3 linked regions of the Ovis aries genome follow. The protein of the gene in region 3 purifies or fractionates together with the protein of the main gene of each other region. This does not show direct contact. Links are inferred from orthologs where the notes say so. Each region holds a gene or a part of one and is shown on either strand. Other genes may lie near its edges. The genes, in order: STRN, RAP2C and MAP4K4.

Region 1 (3,644 bases), about 13 Mb from region 3:
ATCAGACAGCTCAACTGGATATTGCTAAAACCAAGTGAATCTTCATGTAGATCAGGTGTCTTTAACAGAGAAAGGTATTTCCTGGTTACAAACTGTGCCTTTTGTTCTTCAAGTTCTTTAGTTCACAGTGGGCATCATATTAGATGAGAGAATGTTGAGTATCTCATCATATATTCTTGACTGTAACTTTGAAATATATTGAAATTTCTTGCTGGTGGTAGCTTAGTAATAACACCTTCACAAGCAAGTAACAATAGTCTTTGTTTACCTTTGAACTTAAAACTTTGGAAATGAGGAGAGCTATCATATGCCTATTAAAAAAAAATCTGTAATACAATCCAGTTTCTGTTCTCAGTATGGCCAGCATAAGCCATGTAGAGTACTCATACACTCAGTGTTCTGAGTAGTGAATAATCTGTTCTGATGTTCAAATCTAATGTGGACAGTTTCTGCAGGTATTCAGGACAGACATGTTAATCTTTATGGAAATGCGAGGAAATTAAAGTACCTTTGATTGAAATTCTGTTCTGTATGGTTCTGTCCTACGCTGTTTTACCGTGAAGAATCTCATTTAATCTTGTAAATATTTGCTGTTATCCCTATTTTTATATTTTATATTAAACATAGAGGAATCTAAAGTTTCAAAAGATTAAATAATTTGCCTAAAGTTAGCCAATTAGATACAGAACTGGAAATTAAATCCAGAAATTTATGTCTTCAAAACCCTTCTGTTTTCTCTCCGAGTGAGGCTCTTTCTCCCTTTAATCAAATAGATTAGGACAGTGCTAAAAGTGCTGTAACAGTTACTAAAGAATTTTGTTTCTTGAAGCCACAGAAATATGTGATTGATGTTAGGTAGGCTTTATTGTGTCCTGGGGTTGAGAATTGTATATTACCATAGTGTTGATATTTCTAGGGGCGTTTTTATGACATACATTCAGTCATACTGTTTACTACTGACTTTTAGAATGATAAAAACATCCTCCTTTCTCTCTGATTTAGGAGCACGTCTCTTGATGTGGAGCCTATCTATACATTCAGAGCTCATAAGTAAGTGTGTGCTTTTTCTTTGTGTTAAATCAACATCATTGTAAATCAGCCTGATTAGTATATCTTCTTTCATGTATGTATTTGTCGTATGTGGTATTTTTATTGTATTTGGTAGCATTTTTTTTGTAAATGTAAAAGAAAGTGGCAGATAATGTAATGTTAGTGACAAGTATATCACTACCAAATAGGGATCCTTGCTGAAATTAGGTATTATTCGCATGATGTTTAGATGATGTATATATCTCTCTCTTAAAATGAAGTTGACGCAGTTAAGTTTAACTATTAGAAATCCTGATCTTTTTTTCCTTAAAGATAACCTGGTAAAAATACCTGAGACATTTAAAAAATCGTGGCCACATTTCATGCTTTTCCTGTTTCCATTTAAGTTTAAGAAATGTACCTGTTCACTCGATTGAGCACAGAGGTTGGCATACGTTTTATATTTAAAAAGGGTTAGATAGTAAATGCTTTTCAGGCTGCATATTTAATGTTGTATATTCTTGCTTTTAGTTTAGTTTTGTATTATAACATTTTAAAAAGGTAAAAACTGTAAGTGCTTTAGGATTGTACAAAACCAGTTCACTGGTTGGATTTGATCCACAGGCCATAGACCACTAACCACTGGTTTAGCAGAGGAAGAAAAATGAATAGTGCTTTGGTAAATTTTTTATTTGTTGTACAAAATAGAAAAAGAGAAAGCCATTTGAAAAACCAAGCATTCTTATTTCTAACTCATTGTAATACCAAATAGATTTTTTGAGGATGGAAATTGATTTTTTCTCCCAGAGGTCCAGTGCTTTGTGTGGTGATGAGCAGCAATGGTGAGCAGTGCTACAGTGGTGGTACTGATGGACTGATCCAGAGCTGGAACACCACTAACCCCAACATCGATCCCTATGACTCCTATGGTATGTGACTCCCCCAAAATATGAAGGAATCACATAGTTTCTTTTTATGCATTTTATATTGCATATCTATGGATAAAATGAGATGGTTTTGAAAATAAATTTATTTTGTTAAAAAGGGTTTCTATATTTGGGAATCAATTTGATATATATATATATAATATGCTAAAAAAAGAGGGAAAATAATGTATTTTTCCTGCAAAAAGAGTTCCCACCCCCAAGTCTTACTGATTGAAAATGCTGCCTTGATTGACAGTTGTTTTCTTCATTTGTAGGCATGTGTACAGTACTTGACACATTATTATTAATCTGTAGTCATACTTTGTCACTACTCTTGACAAATAATTTTGAAGGAAAATGAATGTTGGCATCATCGTCTTGATCAATTATTACAGAGTGTAGAGGCTAATGATTTTCAAAGTGTATAACACCAATATATTTAAAAGACTTTTAAAAATTAAAAAGTACCCTTTAGATTTGGAAACAGCACCATGAATCAAAAAACTGTAGGATATATCACTAGATATTATCATAAATTCTCTTTCAATTATTTTGATTTTCTCTTTAAATTCTCCATAAATTCTAGAATATGAAGTGTCATATTTGTCATAAAACCATAGTTTATTTTTATTACCATTTTAGATTAATTTCATCACTAAACCTAAGATAAGAAATTCAGTAACTAAAATATTCTCCCAACATTTATTTAGTAATCATTTAACGTATTTTGTGAAAGATAACACCCTCTCCTGCTGCAGTTCTTTTCTGGATTTCTCTGTTTCATACTTTTTGTCACTTCCTTTATCCCTCTTTCAGAGATTAGTTGATCTCATTCTGTCCCAAGCCAACTCTTTCCCTTTCGCTGTTGACCTCCTTCTCTTGTTTCCTTTGAGACTGCACTGTCTTTCTTTTTTGCTGCCTCTCTCTTTTGCACTCATCTGAAGCCTTACCCTTTTTGCTCTGTTTCCATCCCCTGAGCATATAGTAAATTCAAGTTTCTCCCATCCTGGGCAGGAAGAAGCCTTTTGTGACTCCATTTCCCTCTCTGGTTCTTTTTTTTTTTTTTTTAATTTTATTTAAATTGGAGGCTAATTACTTTATAATACTGTGGTAGGTTTTGCCATACATTGATATGAATCAGCCATTGGTGTACATGTGTCCCCCATGCTGAACCCACCTCCCTCCCCATCCCACCCCTCAGGGTCATCCCAGTGGGTGAGCATCCCCGCCCTGAGCACCCTGTGTCATGCATCGAACCTGGACTGGTGATCTGTTTCACATATGATAATATACATGTTTCAATGCTGTTCTCTCAAATCATCCCACCCTCGCCTTCTCCCACAGAGTCCAAAAGTCTATTCTATACATCTGTGTCTTTTTTGCTGTCTCTCATATAGGGTCATTATTACCATCTTTCTAGCCTCTCTTCCTTCCCATGTCTCTTTGGTCTGCTGCTTCTAAGTCGCTTCAGTCGTGTCCGACTCTGTGCGACCCCATAGACAGCAGCCCACTAGGCTCCCCCGTCCCTGGGATTCTCCAGGCAAGAACACTGGAGTGGGTTTCCATTTCCTTCTCCAAGGCACGAAAGTGAAAGTGAAGTCGCTCAGTCGTGTCTGACTCTCAGTGACCCCATGGACTGCAGCCTGCCAGGCTTCTCCATCCATGGGATGTTCCAGGCAAGAGTACTGG
Region 2 (4,284 bases), on a different chromosome or scaffold from region 3:
CTGCCAGGCTGTGCTCTCGTCGCTAGTCTTTATATTCTCATTGCCTAATAAAAGTAAACTGGTGAACAACTGGAGTCTAATGAGATAATGTATGTGAAAATACTTTTCTAAGTATAGAGATGTTTGGAGAGGACAGGAGGAGCAGGAGGAGGCAGTTTAAATGGGGCAGGCCTGTCCACTGATCCCTAGACAGTTAGGATATTGGGTTTGGTTTGGTTTTGAGGAAAGGATGATCGACAAATTTTTTTCTCCCTTCAAATATTATGAAATTATATTTATTCCTTTTTTTCCCCAAGAATACCTTATTACTGTCTTAAAATTAAAATGACACACGGACATGAAAATCCTTTCACAATATCCTTCACTAGTAATTAATGACTTTCAGGTTTTAATGGCTATATAACTATATGTTGCACCACTCCCACATATTTTACACAAATGGGGGCAACTACATATTTGTCCCTGGTGGCTCAGTGGTAAAGAATCTGCCTGCAATGCAGAAAGCAAAGGAGACGCAGGTTCAATCCCTGGGTTGGGAAGATCCCCTGGAGGAGGGCATGACAACCCACTCCAGGATTCTTGCCTGGAGAATCCCATGGACAGAGGAGCCTGCTGGGCTACAAGTCCATAGAGTCTAAAAGAGTCAGACACAACAGAAGCAACTGAGCACACATGTATTTGTTCAGTATCTTGCTTTTCCTTCATCCTTACAATATATCTTGGCCATCTTTTCATATCAGCATTTACAAATATACCTTTCTCTTTTTAATAGCTGCACAGTATCCTATTTTTGAGTGTATACACACATTATTTTTTAAATCATCTATTGAAGGATGTTTAAGTTACTTCCAATTGTTTACTTTCCTAAACACTGTAATAAATACCCTTCCTAAGAAAGTTTAGAAGGATCTTCGGGCTATGTGACATCTGTCAACTCTGTAGTCGATGACAGTGACCCAAACAGACTCTGCACCGAAGGGAGAGGTATGTTTCATTGAGTAGAGAAACAAACAATTCTCTACAAAATACTGTAGCCAACAAGTTCAGAGATAGTAGAGTTGTCAACAGGTGAAGCCACCTTAGCAAGAGGGGCACCCTGTTTTGACAGTTTAGTAACAGCAGAGACTTGAGGCAATTACTCAGCACTGATTGTGAGATCAGAAGAGGAATTTCCCTGTCACAAGCAGGGCTGGGGCAGGGCTGTGGGTCCCCCAGACTGTCTGGAAACAGACAAGGATGGGCAGCAGAGCTCCAAATCAGGCAACAGCACGTGTGAAAAAAAAAGCAGTGACTTGTGAGGAAACTCATAATTCACAGACCAAATCTCTTCCAGCAGAGGGCAGTGCCTCAGATATCAGGCGGGACTCGGGCCAGCTGGAGCCAGAGCTGGAGACTTCGCGGGACAGATTACACCAGCTCTAGGCTGAGAAGAAACTGAACTGTCCTTTGGATACTGTAAGTGACACTGGGGAATACTGGAGAGACACATCAGGACTTCTCACTAATTTGCTTGTTTTCTAATATCTAACAATTGGGGCTTGGTATTATACAGTTGGGCCCTTAGGGCTTGCAAGGGGGATTTGAGGTCATTTTTAACTCCACTGGCTACTTACTCTTTCAGCTTTCTGTGTGCATGCCCGAGTCAAAAAGGGAGTGACATGCATAAAATATAACCTAGGCTTCTGACCCCGGGGCTCTGTGGATGTGACACAAAGTTTACAAATAGAAAGCAGAGGGAAAGATATGTAAGAAGTAACAATTTTATCTAAAAATAGAAACTTTGTGTGTTTAACCTTAGAGTCCTTTGAATTTCAAAGATTATGAAGCATGGTCATTAAAACAAAGTTTAACTTGGGAGAGCCAAGTTAAATTGCTGTGCCTTACAAGACAATGAAAAGAGTTAGTCTGCTGGCCTAAACAATTGCCAATCCACGCTTCCTCGCTGCGTAGCGGTTGGAATCAAAAAAGAGGCAAAACTGAGTTAGAGTACCTTAATAAAGTCTACTTCTAATCCTGCTGTTTTTCGAGCCTGGTGATAAAAAGGAAAGGAGCGACTCTGGCATTTGCTGGTGGAGACAAGGCAGATTTGCCAGGTGATAAAGTACCCTGTGTTGTGTGTGTGTTCAATTATTTGTCAGCACGGCTAAAGAAAACACACCACAGAGGAAATCAGAACCATTAGTGAAGTCGAAGGCTAGTTTGCACGCGTTCCTTCGAAAAATACCAAGTGGAAGGAAGACCAGCAAAGAGAATCCACTTTCTCGGCTGTTTTATTTTCTCTGCCGCTTCTAGTCCGGGGATGTTTGGCTTGTGCTCCGGGTCATCAGATCCGCCCCAGGCCGATCGAGTCTTCAGGCCGGACTGGGGGCCCTCTGAGACGCGGAGAGGCTTCCGCGAGGTCGGGGTGGGACTATCCACATCAGCAGCAGCAGAAACAGCAGCTGCGGGCGGCCGAGCGGAAAAAGGAGACTCCGGAGGTCCCGAGAGAGGCCCTTTGCCAAGGCCGTAGCCCAGACCCGAAACCGTCCCCGCTGTCTCGCCCAGCAGGGCGCGGCCCCAGCGCCACCCGGCTCGCCCCGGAGAGGTGGGACTTTCCCCACCGGAAGTGATCCTGTCCAGTCTCGGGGAACTGGGGCACCTCAACCAGTGTGTCAGGGAAACCCTTCCGGGTGTGTGCTGGGGGGGGGGGGGGGGGGGGGTGAGAAAAAAAAAGAGGTGGGTTCGCTTGGAGTCCCAGCGGCCGCCGCCGCCGCCGCCGCCGGACGGCCCCCGCCCCTTTCCCCTCTGCGAGCGGTAGCGCAGGGGAGGCGGTGAGACCGAGGAACCAGCCTCTCGCCATGGCCTTGGCGTGACAGAGTTTCCCGGGCGGCCGGGCGGGTGCGGACGGCAGGGTAAGCGGCGGCGGTGGCGGCCGGGTCCGGGTGGGAGCCGCAGGAGGCGGCCGGCCGGGCTGCCGGGCTGGGGCGGGGGTCAGGCTGGTAACGCGCGCCCTCTCCCCCCGCTTCACAGGCCGGACGACACCCGCGGCAGCCGCGGCCCAGAGACCCGCCCGGGCGACAGCGACTGGAGCGGAGCCCACAGGCCCGGGCCGGCTCGGCGGCGCGAGCAGGAAGCGGGGTCCCTGGGCCCCTTTGTGTGAAGGGCGAAGGAGGGGTGCGGGGCAGCCCCCGACCGCGGGCTCCTTGGACGCCTGTCTTCCCGCGGGGGTCCCCGTCGGTCCTGCGGCGTCCCCCCCTCCACTTCCCTTCGGGGGGCGCGTCTCGCCTCCCCCCGCCCTCCTCCGGGCTGCTCAGGGCTCGCCCTTTCCCCACGCCCCCTGCCTGGGCTTCAGTTCCTATAGGAAGGGCATTACCATCCCATCCCCACCCACCCCGACACTTCGCTCTTTCCCCTCCCCCTCCTTTAACTTCCTCTTCTTCCCCCGTCCGGCCCTCGGCTCCTCTGCACTCTCCTCCCGGGTTCGCAGATTTCCGCCCACCTTCCGCCTCTCCGAGCAGCGCCGCAGCGAGCGGGGTGTTATTTTTCCCTCCCTTTGGTAGGAGTTGGTGAAGGTGAGACTCAATGAGGGAATACAAGGTAGTGGTGTTAGGGAGCGGAGGGGTTGGCAAATCCGCCCTGACTGTGCAGTTTGTCACTGGGACTTTCATTGAGAAATATGACCCCACCATTGAAGATTTCTACCGCAAAGAGATCGAAGTGGACTCTTCCCCCTCCGTGCTGGAAATTCTGGACACCGCAGGAACTGAGCAGTTTGCTTCCATGAGAGATCTCTACATCAAAAACGGCCAAGGTTTCATCCTGGTTTACAGTCTGGTTAATCAACAGTCTTTTCAGGTAACCAAACCAAGTCTTATAATTTGTAAGAAGGGGGTGTGGTAATCCAACATTTACTTCTGGTTTGCTTGCACCGTGCGTAAATGACTGTTTTGCTTTTGAAAGTTAGACATGGCGCATTTTTGAGGTTACTCCTGGCACGGAAAAGTACCCAGTTGTTTCTGTAGAGAGGACTAAAGTCGCAACCGTCAACAAATGTTTTAAAGTTATTTTTAAGTGAAAGAGAAGTGAAAAAAGAAATGTCAGCTTGTGTATGTTTAGCCTGGACTATAGCCTTCTGAAGTTGCTTGTTCAACTCCACAAGCCTTCGTTAAGGTACTCAAGCAAACAACATTTAAAAGATAATCTCAGGCAAATAGAGCACTTTGTAAGGAAAATTATTTGGAGACGATTATCTGTTCCACAGATAAATTCCTCTGCGTCTGCTTCGCCCTCCCCCTTTTTGTTCTC
Region 3 (4,126 bases):
TGGTTGGATGGCGTCCCTACTCAATGGACATGAGTTTGAGCAAACTCTGGGAGACAATGAAGGATAGGGAAGCCTGGCACGATGCAGTCCATGGGGGTCACAAAGAGTCTCTCAGACTTGACTGAACAACAACTTCTCTTTCAGCTTCCTCAGCCCTAAAATGAGGTTAGCATCACCCTAGGGCCATAGGAGGGCTTCAGTAGACACTGTGTGTAAACTAAGTACTGGTAAATAATGATGCTGGCGAAGCCCGATCGCAAAGGCCTTGGAGTTTCATCCTGTGAGCCCCAGTTCTCAAACTTCCCGTCGCAGCAACTCAGCATCGCCTGTACAGAGAATGAGGCCTCTCAGGCCTACCCCACACTTGGTGGATCAAACTCTGGAGGTGGGGTAGGCGATCAGCGCCTTTGCAGTCCCTTTCGGTGATTCTTGGACCCTGCGGTGAGGGAATACGGAGCCATTAGGGTGTTTGGCCAGCGGAGTGACAGTGATGCAATGACTGTTTGCAGACCATTTATTCACGTTAAACAGGATGAAACTGTCTAACTGCTGACTGGCTTCCAAAGTTGCCGGAAGAAGCCTGTCCATCGCTCCTCAGCGATCTCTAGGCACAGAACTTGGGGCAAGACTCCTGGTCCTCGCCTCGTCCACAGTGAGGAACTCGGGGCAAGGCAGTGAACGGAGCGGTTCGGATTCAGTTTCCGCCTAAAGTCTCGGGACGCGTCGGCCGAGTGATGCTCGGCGAATCCCCAACTACAACGAGGTCACCGGTTCAGCCTGGAAAAGAAGAGAAAGGACCCGAGAAGCCGCTAGGGAAACCGGAAACGAGGGTCTTCAGGGGCAGACTCGGCGGTGGGGGACGCGAAGGGAAGAAGGGGGGCGCGGGGGCCGGGCGGACCCTCCAGCTCCGGGATCCCGGCGGGGCGGGGCGGGGCGCGGCGGGGCGGGGCTCCGCGGGGGCGGGGGTCGGCCCGCCCCTCCGCCCGAGGCAGGGAGGTGGGGGGTCCGGGCTGGCTTCCCTTTGTCCCGGGTGCGCCCCCCTCCGGCCCCGCGCGCGGTCGCCGCCCGGGCCCCACCCCGCGCCCCCCGCCCTGCCGCCTCCGGGCGCGAGCGCGCTTCCGCCCGCTTTTCCTGCCAGAGGAGGAAAGGGGGAGCTGTTCGCTCTCCTCCGAGTGCGATTTCGGTGTCCCGTGTCTCCTCCTCCCGCGCCGCCACCGCCCCCGCCCCCCGCTCATCTTTGTCTGGCGGCCTCGCGCTCTGGGCTCCACACTCGGCGGCGCCGCGGCCCCTGCTCCGGGCCGCTAGTGCAGGCGCGCGCGGGGCGCGGGGCCGGGGCCTGAGGCGCGGGCGACGCCCGGGGGCCTGCCGGCCGCCCCGGCCATGGAGTGAGCGCCGCCGCCGCCGCCGCCCACCCGCGCTCGCCCCGCCCGCCGCCCCCGGCCTCGCCCGCGGGCCCGCGCCGCCCGCCGGGCCTCCGACGCCCAGAAACACGCCGGAGACCTACTGATCGTGGCCGATCCGCGGAGGCAGAAAGGGAAGATGGCGAACGACTCCCCTGCCAAAAGTCTGGTGGACATCGACCTGTCCTCCCTGCGGGTGAGTGGCGGCCCAGGAGCACCCGGGCGCGGGGCGCGGGGCGCGCGGGGACCCGGGGCCGCGCCCTGGCCGCCCGGGCGCCGCCGCGGGAAGAACCGCGGGTACGGCGGCCCCTTTGTCTGCCCGCGTCGACGGGTGCGGGGGCCCCCGGGGCGCGACCCTTCGCCGGCGCCGCCGCCGCCCGGGACCCCCGGCCCCCGGATCGCGGCCCTTGGGCTCCCGCGACCCCACCGCACGAAGCCCACCGCCGGGGTCGCCGCCCTTTCTCTCCGGCTGTCCTGCTGCTTTATTCATTGTTGTGCTGCTTTCCGACGCTCACCCCTCCCCTCCTTCTCCTCCAGGATCCGGCGGGGATTTTCGAGCTGGTAGAAGTGGTGGGAAATGGCACCTACGGACAAGTCTATAAGGTCGGTGCGGGCGCCTCCTTTGTTTCCCGGGGACGGGTTGAAACTTCTGGTCCGGGGGCGCCGGGGGATGGACACGCCGCCGCCCGGAGGCCACGCCGCGCGGCTGAAGTTGGGAGAGGGGGCTTGCCTCGTCGTCCCGCTGTTTTTTAGCAGAGTTTATATTCACACTGGCCTGAAAAGACCTCATTTCCTGGCTCTCAGATAAGGAAATAACGCTCCACTCTCAGGCATGCACTTCCATAAAATGGAAAAGCGTTTTTTTTTTTTTTCCATCAGGCAGCCTACATGCCCCCCCCCCCCCCCCCCACCCCCGTTTTTCCCAGATCTGGCCTTCGGAGTTAGTGTGTTCATTAAAATTCAGAATAGGCAGGCCTCGCCTGTGATTATCCCAAAGCACTGCCTTGGCCTTGAGAATTGTCTTCGTGTTGCCTTGTTTGAATGTTCGCCGGGAGCCCAGGGAGCGGAGTTTGCTGATACCTGGTTCTGCTTTATCACCAGCATACGTTCTACCGATGGGCGCATATTTTGGGGAACAGGGGAGGGCTGTGTGTTTGGGTAGCAGGAGCAGGAAGAATTACAGGGTGAGGATTATACAGTCTGAATTCCAGGAATAACCTGTTTGACAGGTGTGTAATTGAAACAGAAATGAGACAGAGCTCAGGAGTGGCGAGGGTGCCCAGATTTCACACCAACCCCAGGTCTTTCTCTTTTTTTAACATGAGCCTCCCCCCCCCCCCCCCCCTCACCAACCCCCAGTCCCTTGAAACTAACAAATTCGGAGACTCTGAGTCGGCCCTGAGTAACAGACACCTGATGAGACTAAGCTTGTTGCTGGTTTTGTTCGGTGCACGTTGTGGAGATTACCCAGAGCTCTGGCTAATGGAGGCAGGGCCCTTGAATGTTTGAAACAGAATGTGAAATGCTCCGTGTTCTGATTTGTTTCTTGTTACTGAAGGTTCTCTTCAAGTTATCTGCACTGCACCGGGGGTGTTCCATAGCTGTTCCCTGTTTTCTAGTTGGATTGGGATAGGGAAAAAAAAAATCTTATGAAGCAGGGCTTTGTGGCTCGCTGTGAAGAATTGTCATTGTCTGGCGAAAAGTGGAGGAGGGGGGTGTTGGAAGCTGACTGTAGACGTTTTCTTCGGCCAAATTAAGTGTGGATCCCATTGTCCCTTTTTCTGCTCTGTGAATAGGGTTTATCTATCCACAGCCCCAACTTTCCCCCGATCCCGGCTGTGTACCGGCCTGTGGTCTGAACTGGACGGAGTCCGTCTTTTTAGGTGATCTCAAGTGAATCAGCATGTGTTCTGTTGGCTAACAGTTGGGGCCAGGGCCAGGTTTTTGAATTTGAAAGAGAGCCCTGTTAAGCTCGGCCTGCCGGGCTCAACTGAATTTGGAAGCTTTTGGAAAATTTTGGAAACGGTCATGTTGCAACTCCCTGAGTGGTCTGCTAACTGGCTCCAAAAAACTGTTCTCCCCAGCCTCAGTGTTTGTTTAAGCACTGGTTGGTTTTTCCTAACCGAGTTTTTCTGGCCAGGTCTGAGTGGTGACCGTCTTCGTCCAAGTGAGTTAGCCAGGGCTTGTATTTGACCTGCTTACACAGAAGTTGGATTGTTTGGGTCTTCAAGGGTCAGCACAAATGTGAAGGCTGGTGGAAGTAGACCAGAAGCTGTTTTTGTTTTTAAACTGTAAGAGAAAAAGAGAGTGAACCATGGATGTGTCTTCATGGGTTTAGGAGCTAGGTGTTCTTAACAGGAGCACCTGGGGCAGGTTCACTCCCAAGGTTTCCCCTGCTCCTTCCCTCTGGTTCCACACTCTCTCCCCCAAAGCTTTTGGGATCGATTTGCTAAGCACCAGGTTTGGGAAGCTGTTGGGATTGGGCAGTAACAGGCTCCCTGGCTCTCTCCTTACAAAGTACAGTTGAGAAGAAATGCTCAAATTATGCGAAGCCGAGGAAACTATAGGAAATCTGTTCAACAATGGCCTGCAGTCTGAAGCAGGAGCACGACGGGAGCTTTTGCTCGCCTGCAGTTGGTTTATTATTACGGAGAATTTGAAACAGACATCGGAGAGGAAGAGGCAAGCACTGGCCTCACAGTGACCAGCATGTGACTGATCTGGTT

The links.
Region 1: the proteins of MAP4K4 (region 3) and STRN purify together in Homo sapiens (affinity purification with mass spectrometry; 4 studies listed by BioGRID and IntAct, with this or other methods). This does not show direct contact. The link is inferred for Ovis aries from reciprocal best matches to the Homo sapiens genes MAP4K4 and STRN.
Region 2: the proteins of MAP4K4 (region 3) and RAP2C purify together in Homo sapiens (affinity purification with mass spectrometry; 3 studies listed by BioGRID and IntAct, counting the BioPlex papers as one, with this or other methods). This does not show direct contact. The link is inferred for Ovis aries from reciprocal best matches to the Homo sapiens genes MAP4K4 and RAP2C.

Annotation. Positions count from the first base shown.
Region 1 is NC_056056.1:87,166,390-87,170,033, forward strand, and holds part of STRN (striatin), read left to right. Parts: intron 1-1,002; coding exon 1,003-1,050; intron 1,051-1,836; coding exon 1,837-1,958; intron 1,959-3,644. UniProt on the Homo sapiens protein: Calmodulin-binding scaffolding protein which is the center of the striatin-interacting phosphatase and kinase (STRIPAK) complexes.
Region 2 is NC_056080.1:102,670,267-102,674,550, forward strand, and holds the start of RAP2C (ras-related protein Rap-2c), read left to right. Parts: upstream 1-1,382; 5' UTR 1,383-2,669; intron 2,670-2,786; exon of another isoform or gene 2,787-2,891; intron 2,892-3,009; 5' UTR 3,010-3,561; coding exon 3,562-3,834; intron 3,835-4,284. UniProt on the Homo sapiens protein: Small GTP-binding protein which cycles between a GDP-bound inactive and a GTP-bound active form. May play a role in cytoskeletal rearrangements and regulate cell spreading through activation of the effector TNIK.
Region 3 is NC_056056.1:99,985,662-99,989,787, reverse strand, and holds the start of MAP4K4 (mitogen-activated protein kinase kinase kinase kinase 4), read left to right. Parts: upstream 1-1,266; 5' UTR 1,267-1,539; coding exon 1,540-1,596; intron 1,597-1,915; exon of another isoform or gene 1,916-1,937; coding exon 1,938-2,003; exon of another isoform or gene 2,004-4,126.